2 linked regions of the Macaca mulatta genome follow. The protein of the gene in region 1 purifies or fractionates together with the protein of each later gene. This does not show direct contact. Links are inferred from orthologs where the notes say so. Each region holds a gene or a part of one and is shown on either strand. Other genes may lie near its edges. The genes, in order: KDM6A and PAXIP1.

What was found.
Region 2: the proteins of KDM6A (region 1) and PAXIP1 purify together in Homo sapiens (affinity purification with mass spectrometry; 6 studies listed by BioGRID and IntAct, with this or other methods). This does not show direct contact. The link is inferred for Macaca mulatta from reciprocal best matches to the Homo sapiens genes KDM6A and PAXIP1.

The regions. Positions count from the first base shown.
Region 1 is NC_133426.1:44,838,262-44,853,791, forward strand, and holds the start of KDM6A (lysine-specific demethylase 6A), read left to right. Parts: upstream 1-5,653; 5' UTR 5,654-6,011; coding exon 6,012-6,172; intron 6,173-6,383; coding exon 6,384-6,447; intron 6,448-15,530. UniProt on the Homo sapiens protein: Histone demethylase that specifically demethylates 'Lys-27' of histone H3, thereby playing a central role in histone code. Demethylates trimethylated and dimethylated but not monomethylated H3 'Lys-27'.
Region 2 is NC_133408.1:194,436,119-194,451,110, forward strand, and holds part of PAXIP1 (PAX-interacting protein 1), read right to left. Parts: intron 9,631-14,992; coding exon 8,886-9,630; intron 8,390-8,885; coding exon 8,295-8,389; intron 4,497-8,294; coding exon 4,401-4,496; intron 3,164-4,400; coding exon 3,026-3,163; intron 2,445-3,025; coding exon 2,323-2,444; intron 1,889-2,322; coding exon 1,704-1,888; intron 749-1,703; coding exon 705-748; intron 1-704.

The sequences.
Region 1 (15,530 bases):
GCTGGGATTGCAGGAGTGCGCAGCTAATTTTTGTATTTTTAGTAGAGACAGGGATTTACCATGTTGGCCAGGCTGGTCTTGATATCCTGACCTCAGGTGATCCTTCCGCCTGGACTCCCAAATTGCTGGGATTACAGGCATGAGCCACCATGCCCAGCCCTTGTTAGATAATTTAAACATGTGATTCACTTTAGTGTTTGCATCTGTTGACCTTTTCTCATTTGAAATTATCCTGGGTCTTGCTACGATGAGTAATTTTTTGATTGAAACCTGGATATTTTGGGCAGTGTTCTGAGACTCTAGTTTTTTTTTTGAGACAGAGTTTCACTCTGTTGCCCAGGCTGGAGTGCAATGGCACAATCTTGGCTCACTGCCTCACTGCAACCTCCGCCTCTGGGGTTCAAGCGATTCTCCTGCCTCAGCCTCCCAAGTAGCTGGGATTATAGGCATGCGCCACCACGCCTAGCTAAGTTTTTTTTGTATTCAGTAGAGACAGGGTTTTACCATGTTGGTCAGGCTGGTCTCCAACTCTGGGCCTCAGTTGATCCACCTGCCTTCACCTCCCAAAGTGCTGGGATTACAGGTATGAGCCACCACGCCCAGCCAGGACTCTAGATCTTTTTAAAATCTTGTATTTTAGCAGGCCTCCTCTGACATTACTCTGGTGGGGGGAAAGGGGGCACTCTCTTGTTACTGCCAGGTGTGGGTGGAAGTCCAGATTTCCCACTCAATCTTGGTTGACAATGAGTGTAATGTCTCCTTGTTATTGCTTTGTGGGGATGGGAGTTCTGGCTCTCTGCTAGGCCTAGATTGAGGCCTCCATTCACCCTAGCTGGGCGCTGTAGGAGTCCCTCATTATTGCTCCCTACATTGCTTCCCCTCCACTGATACAATGCGGGGTGGTAGTATACCACTGGGCAGTGATGAAAGTTTTGACGACTCTGACATTAATTCAGCAGGGAGGGGTACTGACCCCTCATAACTGCTGGGTGGAAGTCCAGGCTGCCTACTGCAGTTGTGTGTGTGTGTTGTGGGGCGGGGGTGGGATGTGAGGTGCCTCATTACAGCCTGGTGAAGGTAGGAGTCCAGGCATCTCCTAGCAGTCCTAGCTCTATTCTGACAACTGAAGTTTTCATAATAACTGAAAGTCCATTTATACTTGGCTCCCTGTCTCTGCTCAAACGTAACCCTATATTTATTTTTGTCATTTTTGTGTTCTGGCTTCAGTTGGATAGTCTCTACGACAATGGTAAGTAAGTATGGGAAGAACTGGTAAATTTTTTTGAACCTATTTTTGATTGTGACATTTATGTATAGTTCTGTTGATAAGATTAGATAAACTATGACTCTGTTATGTGAGTTTTTATTATGTGTAAAGGTTATATGGCACTGACATTATAAACACACTAGATATTCCTAAGTGCTTCAGGTTAAATATTATGTTGTTTAAAAGAAAGTCACATTATTTTCCTATAACTTAAATGGGTTCCTCCTCTAATTAGTTGATGGTACTTACATAAATATTAACATAATACTGCTACAAATTATGTACTTAGTCTGTAATCTGACTTAGCTAGATTTTATATAATTTTATAATATTGATTTATCTATACATATATTAGTCGTATTAATTTGCTAAATTCAGATTAAACTTTCCCCAGCTCCTGGTGTATTTACAATTATGAAAAAGAATCAGTACTAAATGATATAAGGATTAATTTTTTTTTTTTTTTGAGATGGAGTCTTGCTCTGTTGCCCAGGCTGGAGTACAATGGCGTGATCTTGGCTCACTGCAACCTATGCTTCCCATGTTCAAGCGATTCTCCTGCGTCAGCCTCCCAAGTAGCTGGGATTACAGGCATGTACCACCACGCTTGGCTAATTTTTGTATTTTTAGTAGAGACGGGGTTTCACCATGTTGGCCAGGCTGGTCTGGAGCTAGTGACTTCAGGTGATCTGCTCACCTCGGCCTCCCAAAGTGCTGGGGTTATAGGCGTGAGCCACCGTGCCTGGCTTATAAGGCCGAAGTTTAGAATAAATGAGAGATGTAGCAATACCGGGGTTATATGCCTCAATTATAAAGTACTTAGGACTGCTTATGTGTTGGGCTTATAGTGAGGTTGTGGAGGGATAAGGAGGAAGTGATGGGTAGAGTAATAATAAATTTAGAACCCAGATTGTGAAGGCAAGAGAAAATTTTGGAAATTCCAGCCTTCCTATTTTATTGAGGTTTTTGAATCTATATTATGTGTCTGGCACTTTACCTACCTTATGGCATCTAAAATAATGTTATAAAGTGGCTGTATTTTCTCTTTTTCAGAGATGAGAGAACTGAAGCTCAAATTAGACTAAGTTGTTCAAGTCTGCCTAGCTATCAAGTGGTAGAGGTAGGATCTGAACCTAGATCTGTATGATTCTATGATTCATGCTCCTTTGGCTGCACTACTCTGCCTTCCAGTGGGGTTTACAGATTCACTTTTCATGGAAATTTATTATAAAATCATTTATTGTATGTCCCTATTTCTCTCTCCAGTTAAACATCTAAACCTTATAGGCTCCATATCTATTTTACATACATTTGACAGATAACACACTATGTAACATGTGTATGATGCAAGGACTTATGTTACCATATGAAATTTGTCCCATGCTTGATGATGGAGGATAGATCTTTGCAGTTGAAATAGACATAGAACACTGGCCTAGAGGACAGGTAACTTTCTCAAGGTCACACAGCCTGTGTAGAGCAAGGATTCGAATCCAGGTCTGCCTCACTCCAACTCCCACCCATTGCATCCACTCCTGGCTGTTCTGCTATTACATAGTAATAGCGGAAAGGTGTTGAGGAGTGGAGGGTGGGTAGCCTTTTTTTTTTTTTTTTTTTTGAGACGGAATCTCGCTCTGTCACCCAGGCTGGAGTGCAGTGGTGTCTCGCTCTGGCACCCACGCTGGAGTGCAGTGGTGCGATCTCGGCTCACTGCAAACGCCACCTCCCGGGTTCGCGCCATTCTCCTGCCTCAGCCTCCCGAGTAGCTGGGACTGCAGGCGACCGCCACCATGTCCGGCTAATTTTTTGTATTTTTAGTAGAGATGGGGTTTCACTGTGTTAGCCAGGATGGTCTCCATCTCCTAACCTCGTGATCCGCCTTGGCCTTCCAAAGTGCTGGGATTACAGGAGTGAGTCACTGCGCCCGGCCCCCTTTTTTTTTTTTTGAGACGGAGTCTCACTGTCGCCCAGGCTGGAGTGCAGTGGCACAATCTCAGCTCACTGCAAGCTCCGCCTCCCGGGTTCACACCATTCTCCTGCCCCAGACTCCCGATTAACTACGGGCGCCCACCACCACGGCCCGCTAATTGTTTGCATTTTTAGTGGAGACGGGGTTTCACTGTGTTAGCCAGGATGGTCTCGATCTCCTGACCTCGTGATCCACCCGCCTCGGCTTCCCAAAGCGCTGCTGGGATTACAGGCGTGAGCCACCACGCCCGGCTGCTTTTTTTTTTTGAGATGGGGTCTCACTCTGTCCCCCAGGCTAGAGTACAGTGGCACAATCACGGCTCATTGTAACCTCCACCTCCCGAGTTCAAGCGATTCTTTTGCCTCAGCCTCCCAAGTAGCTGGGACTACAGGCGTGTGCCACCTCGGCTGATTTTGTTTTTTGTATTTTTAGTAGGGATGGGGTTTCACCATATTGGCCAGGCTGCCCTCGAACTCCTGACCTCATGATCCACCTGCCTCGGCCTCCCAAAGTGCTGGGATTACAGGCGTGAGCCACCGAGCTTGGCAGGGATTGGGTAACTTTATAATCCTTGAAAAGGACCTGAGTCCGGAACTGCCAACTTCAGGGAGATAGTCAAATACCAGCAAAATGTCTATCTGTGTTTGTGCAAGTGTGTGTGTTTGTGTGTGTGTGTGTGTGTGAGAGAGAGAGTGTGCGAGCGAATTAGTGGGGTCAAAATTTCCTTGGCTTTGAATGTCACCATTTGCGACCAAGTTAACAATGTATTAATTTAGACGTAGAAAAGATTTGGCCCTTTGTACACACTCATTCAAGCAAAATGGAGCATCATAAAGGGAAAGGTGTTTCAGAGGAAGTAATTAAACATTAACTATAATCTATACAAAACTACAGTTTGTTCGTCTAGTTACTAGTCTCAGGGGAACAATTTAAAACTGTGCAAAATCAGTTGGGATTCCCATAGCTTCCCGCTGAATACTGGTAGGAATTACTGGGTCAGCACTGAATTGTCTTTGTCATATTTTGAAATCCAAGTTTAAATATATCATTTTTATTGGTTACAGGTGGAAAACCTATTGAAAATATACAAGACTCCGTTTATAAAGAGAATCGTCTTTACGTGTCCATTAATTTTTTCCTATCCCTGTTATGACATACAGCTTAGTAAATAAATTTGCCTTTTGAGAAGAGTAGTCGAAAGGCCTGTTTTCTTTTTTTTTTCCACTTATACTAAAGATTAAAAGCCAGACTACAGCCTTTCCCCTGCACCTGAGAGACAGAACAAAGTGTTACTGTTGTCTAGGGGTTACAAACCTGCAGGTTTTGGGGGATAGAAAGGCTTTCCTGGGCCACCAGCTGTGATGAGGATTTAATTATATCTTCTCTCAGGTCTGTCCACAAGCAGTCCCTACTTTTGTAAGAAGGCTCCACTGAAATCACGGCAATAGAACCCAACATTCTGCAGATCCCGCTTAACAATTTCTCATTGCTTTTTCTTGTAAGACTGTAATGAACTACTGATAAGACACAGGGTAAACACAGCACGAAAATCTGGCCCCAAAGTGCCGCCAACAGACAGACCTTTGGCGGTGGGGAGCCACGGTAGGCAAGCCAGGCCCCGCGGGCGACTCTTCATTCCCTCTGGCCTGGGGCGTATGGGTGGGGGTCAGGGGAGCCTTTCCCCCTTCACTTTCGGCGCGGGTGAGGTGGTCGGGGCTGCCAGCGTAGGTCTGGCCTAGGGCGGCACCCGGACCGCGGGGCACCGGGCCGGCAGCCGCTCCCCAAGCGCACTCCTCGCGGAGGCCATTATTTCCAGCAGTGCCAAAGTCTGAGCCTTCTTCGGAGGGCAGAGGTAGAGGGCCGTGTACCGCCTCCCGGCTACGCGACCTGTACCAGGCCCTGTGGGGTCCCGGGACCCCTGGAGCGCGCGCGGGACGGCCGGAGCCGCGGTCTGGGCACATCCCAGAGCTCCCAGGCAGGCAAAGGCCGTCCTTGGCATCTTCGCCCGCCGCTCGCGCCCGCCGCGGACGCTGCCGGACCTCGCCCTTCCCCACCACTCCCCTCCCCCTCCAAAGCCTGCCGTGGTTCCCGAGGTGACACGGCCCGGACCCTCCATTCTCTGCCCCAGTGTATTTAACCAGCACAACCTAACAGGAAGCTCCCTCTCGGTGACAACCCTTCCCCCGACAGACGCGCCCAGCAGCCAACCACCGGCCAGAATTGGCCTGCGTCCCGCTCCCCTCTCGGTGGCGGCCTCGGTGGGCGGGGCTCGGGCAGCTAGCAAGTTAAGTGGAGCCACGGCTGACGTGAGTCAACAAAGGTCACGTGAGTCGTGCGGGCCGCGCCGATTGGTGGCGCCAGTCGGGCGGGGAGGGGGGGTCACGGCGGCGGCGTGGGGTTCGCTGTGTGACACAATTACAACAACTTTGTGCTGGTGCCGGGGAAGTTTGTGTCTCCAACGAATCCCCCCAGTGCTCCCCAGCCCTGCGCGCTCCGGCCGTTCCCGCCGTCCCCGCCCGTGGCTGCCCCTTGCCCAACCCCGCGATGTGACCCTACAGCCGAAAGCCGCCGCTGCCGACCCGGGGGCTTCGCAGCCCCTGCCGCCGCCGCCTTCACCGCCGCCGCGTTGGGATTTTTCGTCGCCGCCGCCCGCGGCGGAGGAGGAGGCGGCGATAAAGTTGGTGTGCTGGTCCCGCGCGCAGATTGGGGGCGTCATTGCGGGCCCCGGTCCGAGGGGGGGTGTCGGCGTTGGAGTTGTGAATTCGCTGCGTTTCCATGAAATCCTGCGGAGTGTCGCTCGCTACCGCCGCCGCTGCCGCCGCCGCTTTCGGTGATGAGGAAAAGAAAATGGCGGCGGGAAAAGCGAGCGGCGAGAGCGAGGAGGCGTCCCCCAGCCTGACAGCCGAGGAGAGGGAGGCGCTCGGCGGACTGGACAGGTACGGGCCGCCGTCACTCGCCCGGTCGGCTCCGGACGGGCAGTAGCCGCTCTCCCGGGAGGCCCGAGCGCGGCTTGTCTCTGGCGGCGGCGGGGCGGGCACCTCGGTTTGGCGCTCTTCGCGCCGCCTCCGCCGGGGCCTCGGGCTCGGGCAGGGACGGGTCGGTGGCGTTCCCGGAGCGTTAACGAGTAGCCTGTGTCTCTCCCCACAGCCGCCTCTTCGGGTTCGTGAGGTTTCATGAAGATGGCGCCAGGACGAAGGCCCTACTGGGCAAGGTAAGGCAGCTGCGAGTCGGAGCGCGGACACCGTCTCCCCGGCCGGCGCCGCGCTCGCCCCGGGCCCCGCGGCCGGGTCTGCGCTCATTGTGGCCGCGGACGATGGTCGAGGGGCTTCCGGAAAACTATTTCCTGCCTCTGCTCTCCCCCCACCCACGGGTACCCAGCTTGCTCCCTTGCTAAATTGCTCTTTTCCTCTTGTAGCTGGAGGAACAGAGACGGGATCGCTTTGGGGCCGGGCTCAACTGGGTCGACAAAACTGCCTGCTATTTTACAGCTTTTTGGGGATAGGCCGATGATCTTCGAGGTGCATGTTTAGAGTCAAGGGATCGTGAATGTGTTCAGATTTCCCCCAATTCCGGACTTCACTTGCCTCTCACGGGTTTAAAGAAATTCTTTTCCTTCAAGCAGGCTGTTCGTGATGCCTACTGCTAACCAAATGTTTTAGGCTTTCTTGTGTCCCCGCTCCCAGAAGGGGGAAGTTTCACGGAGTTTAGGTCGGTGAAGAGTTTGCATTGGGCTGTTGACATGTATCTCGATCGCAATGTGTGTTACCTGAAGTTAGGTGACTTGTTTACTTTTTGGGTCTTTTTGGCATAGAAATACCGTAGTTATTTGTAAATGTGTTCTCTTCCTGGAGCCTCATTTCCTGCGTGTCTGACAGGGGAGACTGGGGAGGATTCGGGGTGTAGTCTCTGTTTATTTGTGTGGAAAGTTGTTGGCACTGTCATTTAGTTAAGTAATGGCTGCTCCTATCGGCCCAAGATGGCGGGACAGGGTGGGAGGAGAAAGTGAAGGGGGGGGGGTTTGGGGGAGGGAGTAGAGGTAAACATGGAAATAAATAGTAGCCGTGAATAAGCCTTTCCTTCGGAGTGTGTAGCTCAGTGGTGTTTAAAAAAAAATTACCCAAGATTATTTGCATATAGAATTCTTGTACCTTTCACAAGCTTGGAAGCAGCATGCATAAGCCTGGTAAATGCTTATCAACCTGTAGCACATTTAGTTACCCATCCTTAAGCTATTGAACAAAGGCTGGAGTCTCAGTCTCTAGGCATCAATTTATATTTCCTGACCAAAATCTGATTGCAATGATATTTGAATACTTTCTTCGTAATTGGGACCGTGAAAGTTGGAGTGTGTGCTATGGGTATTGCATCCGTTAGACATTTTCTTTTCTAGCTGAAATCATAGCTTTGCATTTGACACCTAGCTTTATTGTTACAGTTGAGACGGAAGTTTGAAGTAAGTCCAACATTTTATTCTTAAGTTGATTTTTTTGTTGTTCTGAATTTTTGTCTGTAGCTTGGTTTAGCAGAGTCATCAATTCTTTTTTATCTGTAATTACAAATTTGTTTTTATTTCCAAGTAATTATAAAGAGTTTTATTGCATATAATGATCAGAAAACTAAATGGAAATAATGCTTTTCAGTAAGCCCGGCCCCTTTGACCGATACAGAAAACTTGAATTAAACTTTGACTACATAGGTATTAATTGGCTTCATTGCAATTATTGTTGTAAAAATGAACAGTGACTAGCTCTGGAAAGATTTAAGCGTCAGTAATTGTTGGTCTCCTGCCTTAAAAGTTTTTTTTCCCAATTTGAGTATTTAAAGTATTTTATTTAAAAATATTTGACTGCTGTCAAAGTTGTCATTACAAAAGATTAAACATGATTTAAATTCAAAGAGCATTATTTTGTTTTGGAGGGATTATTGCTGGTCTAACATGGATTGATAAAATTGCTTGCAAAGATAATTCACTTGGAAAAGTTTGGCCAAATCGATTGCTTTTGCTTATGGTGATGAAAAAATAAATGGAATCCGATGTTTTATGTTGAGAATGTGTAAAATGCTAGTTGATTTTATGTCTTAGAATGCTCATATTCAGATAGATTCACGGTGAATAGTGCTTAACATTGGATTTCAGATTGTAATATTAAACTCTGCAGTTATTATGCACTAACGAGTTTAAATTTTAAAAAATAACCATTTTCAAATATTTTTGGCAAGTTGTGCATTACTTGATGTTTGAATGCATGCTAAAAAAGAAAAACTAGTGAAGCTTCACTATGTTTGGGGGCTTCATGATATATGGGGTGATTTGATGAATGATTAAGTAGTTTGTTAAACTAAAGAAAAAAAAATCTTCATTGCTTCAGACTCAGTGCTTGTGAGGTCCTACCTGCTTAGGACAAGATTCATCAGCCTTAACATTAAAATAAAACATTCTCTGATATGTGCTTGCAACCGCATATAGTTCTTGATTGCATCTTTGTGAGTCTGAACATACCAGTGGGGTGTGTAATGTAAAGCTTGACATTATATAACTTCGCACCCTCTGTTTGAATTGGATTCTGAATGAAGTGAATGAGCTTGAGTCCTGCTATAGGAAGTATTGAATTATTTAGTTTCATCCTTCTTTTAACAGTCCTCGAAGCAGTATTTTTTTGTGGAATGTTGAGCTATGTTGGTTTCACAATTCAGAATTCTTATTCTCTGAAAGTCTTAAGAGTTGGTTTTTCTTTACTGGGCAGGTTTAGGCTACTTTCCTGAGGGCAGATAATGGAATTGAATAACTCCCAGAATTACCTTTTTAGCTTTGATTTTTGTCCTGCCATGCCCCCCCCCCCGCCCCCGCCCCAATTTAGTCTGCATTTTGTATAACTTTTTTCCTTTCTGGCAGAAATTTAGCTATTACTACTTGTTTTCAAAAATTCTTGTTCCTATGTATGTTATTGGATTTTCTTTCAAGTTTTTAAAATTCACATTTGTATGTTAAAAAAACTGTTGACCTAAAAGCTTTAGAAAGTTGAAAGCATTAAATATGAGTCTCTTACTTGCCCCTTAACATATATACGTATATATACACAAATTACGTATGTATATGCATATGCGTATACACATATGTGAATATGTATATACATATGTGTATACGCATATACATATATACACATGCACACATGTGCACACACGTATATACATATATACACATACATATGTGTACATACGCATATACGTATATACACACATGCATGCATATGTAATATGCATATACATATACACACATGCATACATATATAATATATACATATGTAATACATGTATGTATAGTATGCACTTGTACATACGTGCATATGTAGATATGTATATGTGTACACATGCACATGTATATACATATACATATCTACATATGCATGTATTTATATTGTATGTATATGTGTATGTGTATATGTATGCGTATGTATTTATACATGTGCTTTGATACATTCATGTATATATGTATATGTATACATACGTATACATACATACATGTATATATGTATACACATGTGTATGTATAGATATATATACATATACGTATATGTATGCGTTTGTACATATGTGTACGTATGCGTATGTGTACGTATGTACATATGTATATGTGTATTCCTTTTTCCAGGTGTGCAGATAGTTTATCCAGACCACTGATTTCTCATCGTCTCCCAAATGTGTTTGTCAGATTCAGTTATATTAGAGTCATTGAAATAATTTTTTGTTTGTAGGCTGGCCATTTGATATACAATGCCTGGGGTTTTGGATTAAAAAATAAAGTAGTTAATAATATTATTATTTTTTGGTAATGTTTTTAAGGTTGTGAACAGCTAGAGCCTGCGTAATTAGAGTTCTTGTAATATAGCGTGATCTTGAACAGTTTGCTCTTGAATGCTGACCCTTAATCTTCTGGTAATGTAATAATTCAAGATTCTTCTTTTTAAAATTTCAGTGGAGTTATTGAAAAGTAAGCAAAATATTTTAACATAAATTAACTTGTGACTTTTTTAGTACAGTTTTGAAAACCTTTTGGGTTAATTTTTTTAAGTAGGGTAAGGATTTGAGTTAGAGTATATAGGAATATATACCATAAATGTAAGTTTAAATATAGTAGTACTATCAAGTATAGTTATAGTAATAATGCTTGGGGACTGGGGAATCTTATCTGTGTCAGGGAACTATTGCTAAAATACTTACACAGTTTTGACCAAAGTATCTTATTTTTAAGTTTTTCTTAAATACTCTTACTGAACTTTTTTTGGTAATTCTGTTAGTAGAAAGATTATACAAAATACTTAGAAGTTATAGATTGTATATCACTTAAAAATGTATGTGCTTTTTTTCCCTAGGACATATTAGCATTAAAACAGTTGGTGTTTTAAATTTTTTTGATAATAGAAGTAGTAGTTTGAGATCCATTGAAACATATTTTCTTAAATTTGGTTTGCTGGCATGTTTAGTGGGGGAAATTATTAGGTCAGTTCTAGAGGTGGCTTTTTTAAACTGTAATATTTGGATGTTGGTTAAAAACCTTCTCATTTATGTGTGCTTTTTGTTTGCTGGCGCTTAAAGGGATACAGGTGGAGTATCCTTTATCCAAAATGCTTGGAACCAGATGTGTTTCGGATTTGGGATTTTTTTGGATTTCAGAATATTTGCAGAATACATACCAGTTGAGCATCCCTAATCCGAAAATCTGAATTCCAAAATGCTCCAATGAGCGTTTCCTTTGAGTGTCATGTTGGTACTCAGCAAGTTTTAGATTTTGGATTTTCAGATTGGGGATGCTCAACCTGTAAATTCATTTCCAGTGCCAAAGATGGCTAGTGTTTTGGTTAGAAAAGTCATGAGACCCTGTCTCCAAAAAAAAAAAAAAGAAAGAAAACCCAAAAAGAAAGTAACCATAGAAATAATGTCATGCTTTGTATTTGAAAATTATGTCTTCAATTTAATATGTTTTAAAGAGTTTTCTAGTTTGGAAGATTGTCTTCGGAACACTTGTAGTCTTAATTTTTTACGTGGACAAAGTCTTATATACTTGATATTTCCTAAAGTTTTGATATGTCCCTGGTAATAAAGGTATACTAAGATTATAGAACATGTTTGCATATTTGGGCACAAATTAGAACTGTAGCAATACATAAACAAGCACTTTTAAAGTTCTGGTTTTCTTTTTCAGTGAATAATTCTTTCTGTTGAATCAATTACAAATTGAAATAGCTAGAGAGCATTTGACGGCCACCTCTAGATACTTTTTTTGTTTTGTTTTGTTTTGTTTTGAGATGGAGTCTGGCTCTGTTGCCCAGGCTGGAGTGCAGTGACCGGATCTCGGCTCACTGCAAGCTCTGCCTCCCGCGTTTACGCCGTTCTCCTGTCTCAGCCTCCCGAGTAGCTGGGACTACAGGCGCCCGCCACCTCGCCCGGCTAGTTCTTTTGTATTTTTTAGTAGAGACGGGGTTTCACCGTATTAGCCAGGATGGTCTCGATCTCCTGACCTCGTGATCCACCCGGCTCGGCCTCCCAAAGTTCTGGGATTACAGGCTTGAGCCACCGCGCCCGGCCACTTTTTTTTTTTTTTTTTTTTAAATTTGAGACACAGTCTTGCACTATCCCCAGGCTGGAGCGCAGTAGAGTGATCTCGGCTCACTGCAACCTCGGCATCCCAGGTTCAAGTGATTCTTAGGCCTCAGCCTCCCGAGTAGCTGGGATTACAGGTGCCTGCCACCACACCCGGCTAATTTTTGTGTTTTTAGTAAAGGTGGGGTTTCACCATGTTGGGCAGGCTGGTCTCAAACTCTTGACCTCATGTGATCCGCCCGCCGTGGCCTCCTAAAGTGCTGGCATTACAGGTGTGAGCCACCACACCTGGCCAGTATCTTAAGTTGTTAAGGAAAACTGCTTGAGAGATGAATTTTTGTGACTTAGGTGAAGTGATGGGTCATGCACTTTAAACCAAAATGAAAGTTCATTGCTTGGCTAGCTGCAGAGTAAGTCTTACTCTGACTTAAATTATGTAACATTTAGTTTTTGTTTACATAGTACGAATGTTCTGCATCTTTGAAAGGATTTCTGTTAAGTTTATTTTTACTTTGAAATTCATTGTGATACTTTGAACTCTTTGAAATTGATGTTAATGACTGATAACACTGCATTATTAATAATATTTTTGAAATGTGTTATCTAGAGAGCTAATTTATGTTAAAACACCACCAGTTTGTCTAAGAACTGAAATGGTGGTTAGGCTGTTTAGGACTCACATGTATTATTTGTGGATTAGTTAATTAATGAAGTTTATTTAATGAGTGCGTAATTGACAGGCTTAAGTACTTATATTGAAACTTCACATATAATTTTATCAGTTTTCCACATTGGTTTGTAAATTATGACAGTAAATTAAAACAGTGTATTAATGTACACTAAGTGCACGTCTTCTATGCAGTTAGTATGAAGATAACAGATATTTCTTGCTCGTGTTGAACTTAAGTTCTTTGAGAGGGGTGAAATAAGTTTAAGGATGACTAACACAGGAACATCTTTGGGAGAAGAAAAATGTGAAATACTCTGAAAGTTTATGAGAAAGGTAAATTTAACAATTCACAAGTTAGAATGTCTTTTAAAGATGGGGATTGTTTGTTGATTGTGTTTCTTGGAGATGATATTTCTTGATTTAGATGTTAGCAAGGCGTCTTATAATTCTGTTTAGGAAAACATGATTTAAAAATCACATTTTGGCCGGGCGCGGTGGCTCACGCCTGTAATCCCAGCACTTTGGGAGGCCGAGGCGGGCGGATCACAAGGTCAGGAGATCGAGACCACGGTGAAACCCCGTCTCTACTAAAAATTACAAAAAATAAGCCGGGCGCGGTTGTGGGCGCCTGTAGTCCCAGCTACTCGGGAGGCTGAGGCAGGAGAATGGCGTGAACCCGGGAGGCGGAGCTTGCAGTGAGCCGAGATCGCGCCACTGCACTCCAGCCTGGGCTGGGCGACACAGCGAGACTCCGTCTCAAAAAAAAAAAAAAAAAAAAAAAAAAATCACATTTTAAGGCTGGATGCGGTGGCTCATACCTGTAACCCCAGCACTTTGGGAGGCCAAGGTGGGCGGATCACTTGAGGTCAGGAGTTTGAGACCAGCCTGACCAATATGGTGAAACCATGTCTCTACTAAAAATACAAAAATTAGCTGGGCGTGGTGGTGGGCACTGGTAGCCCCAGCTACTCGGGAGGCTGAGACAGGAGAATTGCTTGAACCCGGGAGGCAGAGGTTGCAGTGAGCCGAGATGGTGCAACTGCACTCCAGCCTGGGTGACAGAGTGAGACTCCGTCTCAAAAAAAAAAAAAAAAAAAAATCACATTTTAGCTTTTAGCAGATGTTCAAAGGATGATCTGCTGTGTGTTCTGTCCTTCTTTGATTTCATTCTGTAGTAATGTTTACCTTGTTATGAGTTCTTGAGATTCTTAAATGAGTGTTCATGGGTCAATTTAAATTCTCTGACAGTTTGGAAGGACACTCAAGAAGTACTTAATGGTCATCTTGGAGTACAAGACACTTTTGGGGTGAGAAGGAGGGGAGATTTTTTTTTTTTTTTTTTTTTTTTGAGACGGAGTCTCACGCTGTTGCCCAGGCTGGAGTGCAGTGGCGCGATCTCGGCTCACTGCAAGCTCCGCCTCCCGGGTTCCCGCCTTTCTCCTGCCTCAGCCTCCTGAGTAGCTGGGACTACAGGCGCCCGCCACCGCGCCCGGCTAATTTTTTGTATTTTTTTAGTAGAGACGGGGTTTCACTGTGGTCTCGATCTCCTGACCTTGTGATCCGCCCGCCTCGGCCTCCCAAAGTGCTGGGATTACAGGCTTGAGCCACCGCGCCCGGCCAGGAGGGGAGATTTTAAACTGTTTTATAGATTTCTATACTGCTTTTTTTTTTTTTAAAAAACACCAGAGACATATATTACCTTAAAAATAATACAATAAGGCCAGGTGTGGTGGCTCATGCTTATAATCCCAGCACTTTGGGAGGCCGAGGCGGGTGGATTAACTGAGGTCAGGAGTTCAAGACCGGCCTGGCCAACATGGCAAAACCCCATCCCTACTAAAAACACAAAAAATTAGCCAGGCGTGGTGGTAGGCGCCTGTAATCCCAGCTACTCGGGAGGCTGAGGCAGGAGAATTGTTTGAACCCAGGAGGCGGAGGTTGCAGTGAGCCGAGAACGCGCCACTGCACTCCAGCCTGGGCAACAGAGCATGACTCCGTCTCAAAAAAAAAAAAAAAAAAAAAAAACACTGATAAGTGAGTACACCAGAATGTTATATTTTGGTTGACTAAAAATGGGTTTAAACTACCGTGTCTACAGTTAGAAGAGATACTTGTAAAGGTCTTGTTTCATTTTATTACAGTCTCAAGTTGGGATACTTTTGAACTTGATGGTCCTTCAGTGAGGGTAGGAGTGAATGGAGTAGAGATGTACCCAGTTAGGTCCTATTTCTTTGTGTTTTAGATGGCTTTGTGATAGTCACTGCACTCATTCTTCATTTTGATCTTTAGCATTTCATTGCTGACTTTACTTTTGGGTCTGATTTGGCACAGGCTGATACTTGGGACCTGATTAAGAACTAACTGGGCTGGGCGTGGTGGCACATGCCCGTAATCCAGTACTTTGGGAGGCTGAGGTGGGCAGATCACGAGTTCAGGAGATCGAGACTAGCCTGGCCTACATGGTGAAACCGCGTCTCTACTAAAAATACAAAAATTAGCTGAGTGTGGTGGTGCGTGCCTGTAATCCCAGCTATTCAGGAGGCTGAGGCAGGAGAATATTGCTTGAACCCAGGAAGTGGAGATTGCAGTGAGCCGAGATCGCACCACTGAACTCCAGCCTGAAGACAGAGCGAGACTCCATCTCAAAAAAAAAAAAAGACAAAACACACACACACAAAACTGTCACCTGGAAGGGTGGGAGTAATCCCTTGTTAGACAGTTTTAGGTTTCTGAGCCAATTTGTAGACTGCTTGCAACTTTCTTCTATAAGCTTTTATTGTTTTTTCTCTTACCTATTTCTTCCTTTTATTCCATCATTTGTTTACTTCTGTATATTATTAAAACTGTTGATATTATTCAATTGTGAATTGTATTCTTGTATGCTTTTTGTAATTTTCTCTGTGGTACTATTTTGTCTTTGTTTTGAGATGGAGTTTCACTCTTGTTGCCCAGGCTGCAGTGCAGTGTCACAATCTCGACTCACTGCAACCTCTGCCTCCAGGGTTTGAGCGATTCTCTTGCCTCAG
Region 2 (14,992 bases), on another chromosome or scaffold:
TACACTACTATTGGCCAACAGTAAAAAAATCTGCTATTCTCAAAGTGCTGATGTTCAGCCAAACAGTGGGAAGTCACAGCAGACAAAGTCTAAAGTGATATTGAAGTAGTCCTGTCTGTAACTTAGGAAATATGAATGTGGGGAAAAGAGAAAAGACAACTGATTTTCCATTCATCACACTTGACAGATGAGAGAGAATGCAGAAAGCACCTCTCTGTCTTGTAACTAACAACCAATGGCCCTCACACTTCAAGAATGGCCTATCCTGAAAAGCAGAGACCTCAAGCACTGTGATGTGACTCCCAACTCAGGACACTATGAAAACATTTCCCCTCATCACGAGACCCGGGACTCCTTAAGTTCTGATCTGTAGCCTCAAGTAGGTTACACATCCATTGCTTCCAATGGTTCTTAAAGTTCTTGCCTTTCTAACCCTACGAAAAACAAGACATCATCTTTGATTTTACTGTTCTCTATAAGCAATCACACGGCTCTCTGAAGCAAATGAGCCCCTCACATGTATATATAAAAATAATGACAATCACATCCTAACAAGAGAAAAATCAATCCTAGGATTTACTGGAGTAGATAATTCATTTGTTATCATGTTGACAAATTACTAATTTTTAATTTATTACAAATACATTCCTACTGCATTTTAATAGTACAGTAATAGCCAAAGTAAGGTTATTAATTTGACATACCATCAACAACTCTGCAGACACTTTTAAGGGAACTCTCCAAGCATCTAAAGAAAGAAACACATTATTTTTTATGATAGATACATTGTTCAAATAAAAAGGCCTTTTTGTAAAAGTCTTCCCTGATAATCCTCAACAGACAGGTGGCTTAGCTGACAATACTTAGTAAGGATAAATGTAAGTACTATAATGAAGTTTTAAAGAAAGCTTTCCAGGCAAGGTGAGGGAATGCTGCTGCGTTCGTTTCACATGCTGTCCGGGTGAAGTAGCACTAAGACCACTGGCAGCAAACAACAAAGCAAATGCCATGTCTAAACTCATGGCATTCACCCTCCCACTGCTGGTTTGGTTGTCTGGATAGACATTTCTAGGCCTGTGTCCAAGTCTGGGTTTCACATAGTCTGGCCTCTAGCAGGCACAAACCTTCTTGCCTATCACAGGAGCCATGATGGCATTCAAGATGTAACAGCAAGTCAGTCAAAGCTCAACAGTGACAAAGAGGACAGACGTCAATTCTAGGAAAGCAGGGAACGTTCTGTAAGGTAGGGAGCAATTTGGACAAAAGATTAACTGGCCTGAGAGGCAAGACTATCAAAAAGCTTTCAAGCGCTCCTTCCATCTCTAAGAGTTCATCAAAAGCAAACAAAAATACTAAACCATGGCACATGCCTGTAGTCCCATCTACTTGGGAGGGTAAGGTGGGGAAATCACTCAAGCCCAGGAGATTGACACTGCAGTGAGCCATGATCACATCACTGCACTCCAACCTGGGTGACGAAGTGAGACCTTGTCTCAAAAAAACAAAAACAAAAACAAACAAACAAAAATCCTGGGCAGAGTAGGGAGAAGGAAGAAAGAGCATAGAAAGGAAATTGGAAATGAGTCAAAAACTGATTAGAAAGCTCAAGCCAGGCCTAGTAATTAGTATGAATAAAAAGATGGCAGAAGTAATGCTAATGATTTAATTTAAGTAAGATTTGCAGCATGTAGAATTTCACTTACCTAAAAGATTTAAAACTAAATGCTGGGTAGGGGCAAATGGATCCTGCAGACTGAACGCCGTGTAGCGACTATACTGAATCTGCCTCAGTGCCTCAAAGTTTCCCAGAAGAATGTCGCCAAGCCACTGGGCGTTGACACAGGGTATCCTCCACTCTTTGGCTTTTTCATACTTTAAACCAGTTGGTCTTTTATTTTTTGAGGAGAAAACATATTTATTAAATGTTAGAGATGTCAACTGTCCAAATGTACATTTATTTCCAACAAAAGGCAATAAAAAATTTCTCATAATAGAAGTGGGAGGCATATCCTAGCAAAGTTGAGGGTGACCCTGAATGACAATGAAATATACACCTCAAGGCTCAAATAGAATTACAAAACCACCTAGGAGTCTTACTTTTACCCTATTCCTGTTTTGTTAATTCAAATTTCATTAATTCAAATGTTTTCTAGGTATTTCTACTAACATTACTATATCATTGTCATACTTTGTTTAACAGACTTTGATTTCCACAAATTTCTACCACAAAACTATGGCACACTAAAAAATGCACAACTATTGAAATAGCCACTATATTGTGTGTAAATTTATGATTAAAAACGGTTTCAAAAATTTACTTACTCTTTACAGATGAGGACTGTGTTGCTGCGGCATAGGTAACCCGTATATTTGGCGCCCGCCAAATAAGCCATTAATTTTAGGTCATCTCTGTCACTATCAACAAATCCAGTCACAGAAATAATCTAAGAAAAAAAAAAAAAAAGAGAGAAAATAAGATAAACACAAAATAAACAAAAAAACAAAACCAAGTACTATTTCTTCTACTTCTTAGTTGACATATATTTTTTCACTATTTTTTTGGCATTATGGAACACATTTGGTAATATCATTTCTAAAACTTTCAAGACCAGAACTGTATTAATGGTCAAAAGGTTACACACACATCCCTCACGGGGAAGAAGAAAAAGAATGAACATGAAATGCTGAGATCATTTGGGTGGGAGGACCCACAACTATTGATTAGTTCCACCCACTAGGGGCTGCCTTTGGTACAAGACATCTGATTTATTTTTGGATTTTAAATAGTGTCAAAGACGGGAGAATCCATTAAATATCTACTATGTGCAGAACGTTGTGACTGTTACAAGGAACTAAAAGAAAGCAAGCTATTTCTTATGAGCAGGCACTTATAAAACGGGCAAAAGTACACAGAGAAGCTCTGACTCGGAAGCCAGCGCGGGAGCCTCAGGTAAGTGCTAGCAAGTGATTACTCGCCAAAGTCGAAGGATGGCTTAACAAATGGAACGCGAGGACTCTATCTTACGTGCTGTGAACACGGCTTTCCTCCTGGTGGGAAGGCCACTGGAAAGTGAAGGGCTCGGTGCGGTGGTACCATTTTCTTCTTCTTTAAGACTGTGTTTAACCAGTGCGCAGTGATACATCTCTTTCTTTCTCTTATTGCCTGTCAAACATAAAATTATAGGTGTGTTGTTTTTGTTTTTCTGCTGCAGGATTAAAGAAAATTCTATGGTTGTATAACTACAATGCCCTTTTCATTAGAAGCCCTATAAAAGAATTTCATGACATCTAGCACTTGATTGAAGTAACAAATTAAAACCATGTAGCTGGTTATTTGAAATACAACCTAAAAATGTTACTATCCATCTGCAAACAAGAGTCTACGACTGAGGACAAAAGCAACAAATTCTACGACAATCTCAAAAATAACGTTAGTGATGAGTGAAATTACACGTAGGACCACCAAAGTTATAAGTGCCCTGTAAGAACACAGAGGGCTGCACATAAGAAAAAATACAAAAAACCATCCACCTAAGATGAACCACAGGAAAACAAAAAAAGTCTCAGAAGTATTTCCACATTTTTACTGGAAAAACAGACCCTGTGAACGGCTATCCTCTTTAAGAGGGGTGTCTTGGAGGTCATTTGTCACATATACATAATCTGTCTACAATAAGCATAATTTTTTGAAAAGAAGTGAAACTTCAGAGAGCACAGGAAGGTAGTATCAGGAGAAAGCCCACATCCCGGCAGGTTTAGAAAAGCTCTGTAAGGGACCTGTCTTTGCACGCTTCTGTGCGAGTCACACACCAGTACGGAATCCTGCCTCCCTTCACTGTGCAGAGAGCAGCTGGAATGGTGACTGCAGGGAGTGTCCGCCCTTTCTTTTTTTTTTTTTTTTTTTTTTTTTTTTTTTTTTTTGAGACAGAGTCTCGCTGTCGCTCAGGCTGGAGTGCAGTGGTGAAATCTCGGCTCACTGCAACCTCTGCCTCCCGGGTTCATGCCATTGTCCTGCCTCAGCCTCCTGAGTAGTTGGGATTAGAGGTGCACACCACCATGCCCGGCTAATTTTTGTATTTTCAGTAGAGACGGGATTTCACCATGTTGGTCAGGCTGGTCTCAAACTCCTGCCCTCGTGATCTGCTCACCTCGGCCTCCTGTCCGCCCTTTCTTACCACCACCTAGGAACATCCCTTTCTATCTCCATCGCTTAAAGACAATGGTGCCCACAAAAGGTATCAATCCCACCAAAGAACTGATCACAGGAAGAAGCAATTTTCCTATCTTCAGAGGTAGAAAAAACCCCTTTCCAAAAATAACAATCAATCACCAGCATTTAAGATTGCATATAAAAAATGCCAGACCTTGCTCCTCGTCGCTGCTAAGGTTATTTTCCTTACCTGTGCATACACGCTGCTGACTTGACTCTCACAGAGAAGGTGCGTACATCGACTTGTGAACGTGGGGTCAACAGTGCCACCATGTGCCTGGATTATCTACACACAAAGACCCGACCAACGCAGTCATCAATTTCGATCACTCAGAATAGAGGAGAATTCCAATTTCAAATAAGGCAGCTATTAAAAGACTCTATCATACATTTATATCATGTATTTCCCCAAAGTATTAAGGACATGTAACAGTTCTATTTACAGACTTTTCTACCCAGCACCATATAATGAAAATGAACTCCAGTACTCTAAATTTAATCTGAATTTCCAGGAAACAAGAGAAGAAAAATGGAATGCACTCCAGGGTTTCTCAAGCTCAGCATAACTGCCACTCTGGACCAGGGGGTTCTGGTAAGTGGGGGCTGTCCTGTATAGAGGAGGATGTCTGGCAGTGTCCCCAACTTCTACCCACCCTATGCCAGCAGCAGCCCCCTAGCCGCGACTACTAAAGATCTTCAGATACTGCCAAAGGTCTATGGTGGGCAGATCCACCTCCCTCGAAAAGGGAAATAAAACACAAATCAGAATGAAATTAGTAAATCCCAACAGTTGCTTCTCAAAACAGATCTGCTTTTCTGGGAGGAGGAACTGCTCTGCATCCGGGCTGTGATGGCTGCACGACCTCGGGCATTCTTCAGAACTCAAAATATTGTACACGGAAAAAGGAGAATTTGACAGCCTATTGGGTGAAATATAAACTTTAAAAAGACCTGCCCCCTAAAAAAACCGATTGCTTCACTTCCTACTTTTAAGATGTACATGTTTATTTTTCCTCCGGCTAAGCATAAATATAGTTTAATGAGGCACAGGACAGAACCACAGGTTCCTCGCCAATCCCTGCTTTTCACTCCCCGGAAGCACGTTCAGCACTTGAAGCTGTTTCTTCCGAAAGTATGAATATATTCTACTAACACTTTACATTAGTTCCTTTTCTCTAGTTTACGTGGCCATCTACTGACCTCCTACAGTGCACACCCTTCCCCACCGTAACACACACTCTTCAAGCCTTCCTGATTTGGTTATAGCCAGACTCTTGTTTACATCAGTCATCAGTGACTTAACGCAGCCCAGCCACATGGCTTAATATGGCAGCCTAAGATGAGAGTTCCTTTCTGGTATAAACTTTGGTTTTCCCTGGTGCTAATCACTTCCTTATCCCAGCCCCCCAGAATTTGCCCTTTTCTTAGTTTTCTATATACTTTTCACTATTTCATTCCCAAACTCTATGAAAAATGTACATGTGGCGGTTTTATAGTATGTCTGCAAATTACTGTATACTCCCCTAGTCTTAAATATGGTCTAGACTTAGTCATTGAATATGGTGGAATTGACAGTGCGAGTCTCCTGTAACTTATATTTTCTCTTTCGTATGATTTTCTTAATAACATAATAACATTTTCTTTTATTTAGCTTACTTTATTGTAAGAATATGGTAATACATATACAAAATATGCATTAATTGACTGTTTATCACTGAGGCTTCTGGTTAACACCAGGCTATTAGTAATTCTGGCTTTGGGGAGTCAAAAGTGATGTATAGATCTCTGACTGCATGGGGATCAGCACCCCTAGGCTCCACACTGTTCAGGGGTCAGCCGTACATGTCTCTCCTGAATCCACCAGTGTTTTTGTTTGCTTGCTCCTCCAGGAAGTCTCTCTTCCGGTCCCAGGTCTAGTTCTCTCTACACCTACTTTCTCATCTATTAGCGTTTCCCTTCACCTCCATCCTAGGAACTCTCTTGTCATCTCTGAGTCAAATGCCTCATTTCCTGGCTACCAGGTCTCACTCTCTGCTGGCATAGTGGCTTCCTAAGGAAGAATATAACGGAGGTACATTTTCGACCATTAGTGTACAAATATCCTCCTTCCATAGTCTTAGGACTGACAGGCTCTATAGGTTATTTTAGGTTGGAAATTATTTTCCCTCAAAAATGGAAGAAGCTGCTCCGTTGCTGGCCCCCGCGCACTGGACTGGAGGCTCCCGAAATCGCCCTGACTCCTGATCTGTCCACGTTTCCCCTCCAGTGAGCTTGTCTTTGAGAGAAAACAGTTTTCTCTACCAGCATTGTGAACGTTCCCAGTTGCCTTATCACGGCTCTCCTTATATTTCTTTTCTATCTGAGGGCACATGGCCTTCAGCTGCAAAGGTATTTTCTTTCATAACGTTCTTGCCTTCATTTTCTCTGTTCCCGAGCTCCTATTTAATGTTAGACCTCTTGGATAAATCCTTAACTTGAAAACAAGACAAAAAACCCAAACTTTCCTCCACTAACTTTGGTATCTTTGAGTTTTGTCGTACTTCTCAAGACAGTTTCTCAGTGCTGCCTTCAAACACTTCTGACTTTTAAAAAATCTCTGCTGCTGTCCTTCTCAGAACTGCCCCCTTCCTCCCTCCCCCTAGCACATGCCATCCGCCTCTTTCCTCAGCCAACCACAGTCATCTCTCTGGTCACCTTCAGATTCAACCCTTTACTACTTGAAATGCACAGCTGATCACTTCACCTGCATCTAAACTCCACCACATGGCGCATCAACAAGGTCTTGGAAGACATGCCAGCCCTGGCTCCTGCCCCAACCCCTGCCTTGTGGATCCCACTGAGGCACCGTCCTTTGCACCCTCCTGTCAGTTTCCCCAATCACATGCCTTTGGCCGTGCTACACCATTTGGAAAATCCTCCCCTCTAATTCTCACTCCTACTCATCCTATAATAAGCAGTTCAGGAATCACCTCTCCCAGTAGTCTTTTCTTTTCTTTTTTTTTTTTTTTGAGACGGAGTCTGGCTTTGTTGTCCAGGCTGGAGTGCAGTGGCCGGATCTCAGCTCACTGCAAGCCCCGCCTCCCAGGTTCACGCCATTCTCCTGCCTCAGCCTCCCGAGTAGCTGGGAGTACAGGTGCCCGCCACCTCGCCCGGCTAATTTTTTTTGTATTTTTAGTAGAGACGGGGTTTCACCATGTTAGCCAGGATGGTCTCAATCTCCTGACCTCGTGATCCGCCCGTCTCGGCCTCCCAAAGTGCTGGGATTACAGGCTTGAGCCACCGCGCCCGGCCCCAGTAGTCTTTTCTTAACACATCACCCCACAACATGATGGGTGAAGGTCCTTTCTCAGGCTCTCACAACAGCCTGCATCTGCCACCCTGCCTCTGCTTAGCTGTGTGGCTGCCTCTCGCACTGCTCTTTGGTTTTCTCCGTCTGTGATTTCCCACATATTCCCTAGGTCTTGCAGCATGCTTGGCACACAGGTGGGGTTTAAGCACTAGAGATGTTTATAGTGAAGCACATTCAAGATATATGAGAGGTACATTTAAACTCAGTTTTTATAAAAAAAATTTTTTTTGACTCAGTTTTGTTTTGGGGAATGCAAGAAAAAGTATTTCTTTTCTTTAAAGGCCACCATGCAAAATAATAAATAATTAAATTAACTCCAGTTTCACAATTGGGCTGGAAGAAGTTGAGGTCCTAGAGATTCTGGGATTTTCTAACAGTTACCTCTAGAGAAAGAGAAATGACTGAGATCCACACAAATTAATGGTCCCTCTCCCAGGACACCAAAAACCTGAACTTATTCCCATCGTCCCCATTATACACATATAATTAGTGCCCCTTGGAATTTCCAAGCTGAAAAAATAAGAAGTCTACCATCTTCATCTAACAGCTGAGAAAACTGATGCCCAGAAAAGTGCTGTGCCTGAGGCCACAGGGAATGTTAATCAAAATGCCCATCACACATTTATAACACATGCAGGTGCAGCTCAGTGAATGCAGCTCAGTGAACATAGTTACATCTACATAAGAAAGAAGCATCTTCAGATACAGTCGTCCTTCCTCCAGGCACAATCTCACCCTTTTCCAGGTGGCCAGCAGTTGCTTATCAGACATCTGCTCTGGATAATCCGCAATTGCAAACACACATCCCAATAAGAAGCCTTCTTCTGGAACTAGGGTAAAATTATACAAGAAAAAGAAAATTAAAACCCTATGAATATGCTTGCACAAAAGTTAAACAGTGGTGCCTTGCAATGTGATTCTGTTATGTTAATCAGTCTTGACCATGACATATCTACCAGTAATCAGAGTGCATGGGGAATATTGCTAAAAAGATACTAGTTATCTGTCTACATCAAATAATCGTTAAAAACTAAAACCAACGTAACTTATGCCTGGCCATTAAATACCCTGAGGAGTCCCTGTGGCAGCCTAGGTGTTCTACAGGACACCAATATTCACTTCAGCATATGATGTCCCAAAGTACAAAAGAAAGCATAATTATCCCATGGTAACGATATTCTTTGTTAGGTATGAGACTCACACTCTCCATGTTGTAATAATTGTGTTGACATGAATCCTTACCCCACACTCAAACACTCTCAAAGCATTTATGTGAGTACAAGACTTTTAGGAGAGAGGGAAAAAAAAAAAATCTCCATTACTAACTCTCCACTGCTGGATCATGTCCAAAAAGCTGATGATGCTGAGGTGGTGGTGGTGGTGGCTGCTGTTGCTGCTGCTGCTGCGGGGGCTGCTGAGGTGGAACCTGATGCTGCAGCGCCTGTGACGTCTGACTCAAGTGTGGCGCCGTCTGGCTTTGCATCTGCTGCTGCTGGTGCATGCGCTGGAGCTGCTGCTGCTGGAGCTGCTGCTGCTGAATCTGCTGTTGCTGCTGCTGCTGCTGCTGGAGCAGGCTGTGTTGCTGCTGGAGCTGGGCGAGCTGCTGCTGCTGGAGCTGGTGCTGCTGCAGCTGATGGAACTGCTGCTGCAAGGCATGCTGCTGCTGAAAGGGCTGGAGCTGCTGCTGAGGGCGATGCAGCTGCTGTGGAGGATGCAACTGTTGCTGTGGAAACTGTAGCTGCTGCTGTGAAAACTGATGCGGATGGGCTTGCTGCTGCTGCTGCTGTTGCTGTGAAAACGGATGTGGTGGCTGCTGGGGGTAAGGTTGCTGAGAAATCTGCTGCTGCTGCTGCTGCTGCTGGAGCTGCATTATCTGCTGGGGCTGAAGGTGTAAAACCGGGTGCTGTTGCTGCTGCTGCTGCTGGGCCTGCTGCTGCTGCTGTAGCATGTGTGTCTCTGGAGTCACTTTCACTTGGCTAAACAGCACTGCATTGGCATTTGTATGTCCCTGCTGGCTGTGATTCACCTGCTGTTCTAAATTTTTCGTAGGTGCTGAAAGCGTCTGTAAGATCTACAAAACAAGTTAGGTGAAACATTATCAATAGTTCCTGAAACAGACGAATGATAATTTCTTAGTCATGAGAATAATACCATCCTATTTATTAACAATATTCAACCAAGCAGACACAGCAAATGACTGGAAACTTCAAAATAATACTGCATTTTCTTTTGTATTTATTTTGTAACACCAATATCATAAAGTACATTCACATATTGAGACCACCAAAATTTGAAACTACGTTAGTAAAATGGAGTAAACTAACGAATTAAAGTGACAAAGACTCAGACGGCTGATGTGCTTGCCAGAGCAAGGCGTGTGAGTCCTGTGCACAACTGGAGGCTAAGCCTCGGTGCTCCCTGCACTGTCCGCAGCGCCTCTCCACTGCCCATCGCCCACATCAGCTCCGCAGACCCTCTCCTGGCCCAAGAATGCACTGAGGAATGACAGGTGGTGAAAGCATCTGGTAATCAGGTTCAGCTTCACCTCAAACCTTCTCGCCACAGCTGCCACTTCCCATTTCCTCTTGTCTTACAGCCCAGAGTCTAGTAAAGAAAGGTTCTCAGTGAATCACCTTCCTGATGAAAGCAGCATGACCTAAGCTGTGACTCCAAGAGCCCTTCGCTCCACTGTCAACTTGCTATGTACACTGGCATTCTTCAGAAAAGGAGGCCAGCTAAGACACCACCAGAGCTGTTTCAATGGTGATGTTTCTCCCAACTAAGAACTCATCATTAGAGTTGGGAAATGATGCTTCCTCAAAAATGACTGAGTTCTTCATGTGGGACAAAAATATTTCAAGCTAGAAAAAAAGAATTCAAACCAGACTCTTTGTTTTCTAGCTCTTTCTGCTTCACAATGACAGGGAATAGGCTGAGAGTTCTGCGTACACTGAGGAGTAGGAGAAGGACGGTGACCAGCAGATGCCCACCAAGAAGAGCAAGTTATTTTTTTAATATCCTGTAGTGTACTGAATACAACAAAAGATACATGTTATACAATGAATTTTGTTCCACATGCTCAAGCAACAAAAATTTGAAACCAACTTCTTATGGTCATGGAAATCAGTAAAAATAGATTTTACTAAACTCAATCCATATAACTTTTAACCCTAATAAAAGCATTTAAAATGTAAACAAAATTCTAGGAATTTGATTTTAACACATATCAGAACTATAACAAAATCTCAAACATATTCTAACATGTATCTTTCACTTAAACAGACTCCAAATTGCAAAGGTTATATGACCTGCAAGGGTAACAGATTTTGGGTTTAGTGATAAATAATTGTGTTTAGAATTGAAATAAGTCAAAATCAAGAGCTTAGGTACAACCATCTTTAGAATCACCTTATGTATGAAACATCTCTATGAGATTCAAGACTTCAGAAACACCTGAGTGGAACTCTAAGCAGAAAAATGTCTTTTAAACAAAATAATAAGACAACTGTTTCATCTCCATATTTAAAAGTATTTTTAAAAATCCAGAAAAGAAGAGGGGAAAATTCACCCCATCACATGCCATCCCCCGGAGCCCAGCAGCATTTGGTGCTGTGCGAACACCCCCTAGAGAAGCATGCATGTGTGGGGCACCTGCTTGCCTGGTGGGCACCAGCCATGAGCCCTACACGGCAAACTGCTGGAAATAGCAGCTGCCTCTTGAGAAGGTAAACAGCAATGAGGGGTGGGAGGGGGCGGAGAGTTTAACTGTTCACTCTGTCCTTTGGTATCATTTGAATTTTTGAATTTTGTACACATATTACTTTTTTACCCTCATATGTAAACAGCCCATGGAACTCTGAGGGATAGTAAAGAAATAAATGCCCATCTGCAGGTGGACAGGGCTGAACCAGTCATTCACCACATGCTGCTCCCCGCGCCTCTACACCTGCCAACTCCAGGAGAAAGGGAGCTCAGGACCTAGACAAACACAGCAGCAGACATCAGGACAGAACAGAGGCCAGAGGCTCCTGTTTTTCAGATTGGCCACGAGGACTCAGCAGGGTCTGCTGCCTGCAGAAAGTGCTCCATCTGATCTCAGAGGGCTGAGGGAGGCCTGGGTGGGACAGGAGCTGTTTCTACTACAGGCTTCAGTTAAGATGGGTCCTCGTCCACTGCTAACCCAGCCCATTAAGGGAGAAGAACAGATGGAGATTCAGGATGAGAGTCCCGGCTAGAAATGAAGACAGCCATTGGCCTGGAACCTTTTCCACTTGAGGCAGCGAGAGGTGCAGGCCTGACTGAAGAGGAGGCATCTGCAAGACCAGCCATCGAGATGCCACCCAAAACCCCTACCACATTCATCTGATCACTTTTTCAACCATCTGATCTGCCTCTGGCTGGAAACACGTTAGTCCTGAAGAACGTATGAAAACAAATCTTAATTGCTCAATTACATAATTGTGCTATGCTACAAACAATTCTGAATGAATGTCAAGTTAAAATTTTTCCATTACAACTGTCATAATCCTCATTTATACTACATTAATACTGAGTTACTGAATTCCATATACAGAATGCATTATGATACACACCACATGGCTTCTAACCACTATAAATTTGCAATTTAAACAGGATTTTGATGGTAAGTTACGCCCCCCCAACCAACATTAGTTCAACTAAATCTGTCTCATATTTCTAAAGTTTCAAAAAGTCATTTTCCTCACATCTAGCAGTAAAATGTCCTTATGTTCTCTTGCACTGACGAAAGTCTCTCAGAAACCTCTGCGATTCTCACTAGTGACCAAATCCACTCACTCACTAGAAATGGATGGAGCCTTCTCCGTTTTCCACCGCTAGAGCACACAGCTGAGTATACCAAATTTATCTCCTAAGGACAATTTCCACTGCAGAGATGTGCTCAAACCCCTACTGCAGTCAATTCTTTCCGTTTCAAAGTAAATTATTTTGTCTCTATATCCAAATACAAACTTAAGGAAGTTTATTTATTTATATATATATTTATTTATATATTTTATAAATAAATATATATATATTTATTTATTAAAAAAAAAAAATATATATATATATATATATTTTTTTTTTTTTGAGACGGAGTCTCGCTCTGTCGCCCAGGCTGGAGTGCCGTGGCCGGATCTCAGCTCACTGCAAGCTCCGCCTCCCGGGTTTACGCCATTCTCCTGCCTCAGCCTCCCGAGTAGCTGGGACTACAGGCGCCCGCCACCGCGCCAGGCTAGTTTTTTGTATTTTTTTAGCAGAGACAGGGTTTCCCCGTGTTAGCCAGGATGGTCTCAATCTCCTGACCTCGTGATCCGCCCATCTCGGCCTCCCAAAGTGCTGGGATTACAGGCTTGAGACACCATGCCCGGCCGGAAGATTATATTTAAACCAACATCCATTGTATTTGAAAAACATAAGGCCTATAATCCCAGCACTTTGGGAGGCTGAGGTGGGCGGATCACCTGAAGTCAGGAGTTCAAGACCAGCCTGGCCAACATGGCAAAAATCCATCTCTAATAAAAATAAACAAACATTAGCCAGGCATGGTGATGGGCACCTGTAATCCCAGCTACTCAGGAGGCTGAGGCAAGAGAATCGCCTAAGCCAGGGAGGTGTAGGTTGCAGTGAGCAGAAATCGCACCACTGCACTACAGCCTGGGCGACAGAGTGAGACTCTGTCTCAAAAAACAACCAAAACATATATATTAGGAATAAGTAGTAACTAACCAGCAGTAACTGACCAACACTTTTTGATACCACAAATAAATGAAGAGCAAAGAACATTTCCTATTTCAAATGGATGACTTCTGTCCATAATTTCTCACCTAAAGGAAGTGAGAAAGTAGCATTTCTCAAAGTGCCAGAGGCTTCATCCATGATTCCTCACACCAACCCTATGAGAGATCTTTATGGCCCATGTCCCACATACCCCACTGCTGACAGGACAGGTCCACTGTGTGGTCCCAGTCTTCCTGCCAGGACTGGTCACCTCAATTCCTCCACCTCAGCAGTATCATCACTCTTCTCATGTCTGAGGTCAAAAATGCTAGAATTCTCTTTGTCTCTAGCCTATCATTCTTTATGGCCTTTACTTTCTACCTGTCACGACATCCTCTGGTTCTCAGGACGACTGTGTGATCATCACTTTGCTGCTCTGTGGCTGAGACTGTGCCCTGTGGCTTTATCCCGCCCACCTGCCTGGACATGGATGCGCAGAGACCAGGGCCAGAAACCTCAGCACTGGGCGGTGCTGGAGCTGCTCCTTCTGTGCATCTACCTTTTCCCTAAACTTGGCTGACCCCAGCGCTCTCATGGGGACCCATTTGGACAATCCCTGGCCTAGAAGCTCTTGGACCTCCTCATCTTGGTGGCCTTCTCCCCATTTCCTCAGCCACACATTCCCAACCACCCCCAAGACCTATGGTCAGTGGCAGGCCTGTTTTCCTCCAGGACCCAGCAAGGTAGCATGGAGTGGTGGGCACCGAAGCAGGCCCGAGAACCCCTCTCTAACAGGCAGCTGCTGCTCAGCTACAAGGCACTGTCACCACCCAGGACTTGAGGAATGCCAGCTAGGCATTTTATCAGGTACCCACCTCTCAAGCCAGAAACCCAATGTGTACGAAGAATGTCTTCCCTATCTATTAATCAACTATTTGAAAATCTAATCTCCTCAAACCCGATGATCTTCTCTCTCTACTCATCTTCTCCCCCACCATCTTAACTGTCTGCTGTCCAACATCTAAAGGGCATGTTTGCCTCTACCTTATTCTGGATGCCAGCCAACCGCTGCCATCATCCCAAGAATCGTGTACTACTAATACCTGCTGCTTAGGTGGAGGGGAGGTGAGACAAGGATTTTGTCTGTCCCACAGCATTTCTACACACTTTTTAAACCACTGCTATTATCACACCCAATAAAATGGTCATTGTTTGTCAACATCACCTTACACCTACGCCATATTGAATTTCCCCACTTCATCAACATCAAGCCTTTCTACTGAAAGTGGATGTGGAGAATACTGGATCCTGCTTCAGGCTGTTCCTATATGCAGAGCCATTTTTCTGGGACTTTGAACTGTTATTATTAAATGAAAGTGTCCAGAACAAGGTGAAGCGGCAGATGGGGCGTCACCATCAGATGGAACAGCCCAGCTGGCTCTCAATGGTGGGGCTCCTCAGGACCTGGTCCCAGACCCTCCTCTTGCTCTGTCCCGCCTACTATACATCCTCACATCTACCTCCATAGCTTCAGTCAGCCTTGTTTCCTCTGGTTCCACCGTGTAGCAGACAGCCCCTGCATGGATCAGATACCTCCAACCCAACACATCTGAAAAGAAACTTGGATTCTTCAAACCTGCAGCTTTCCCAGTGTCCCTTATCTCTGAAACGGCATCAACTTCCTTCACTTGCTCAGG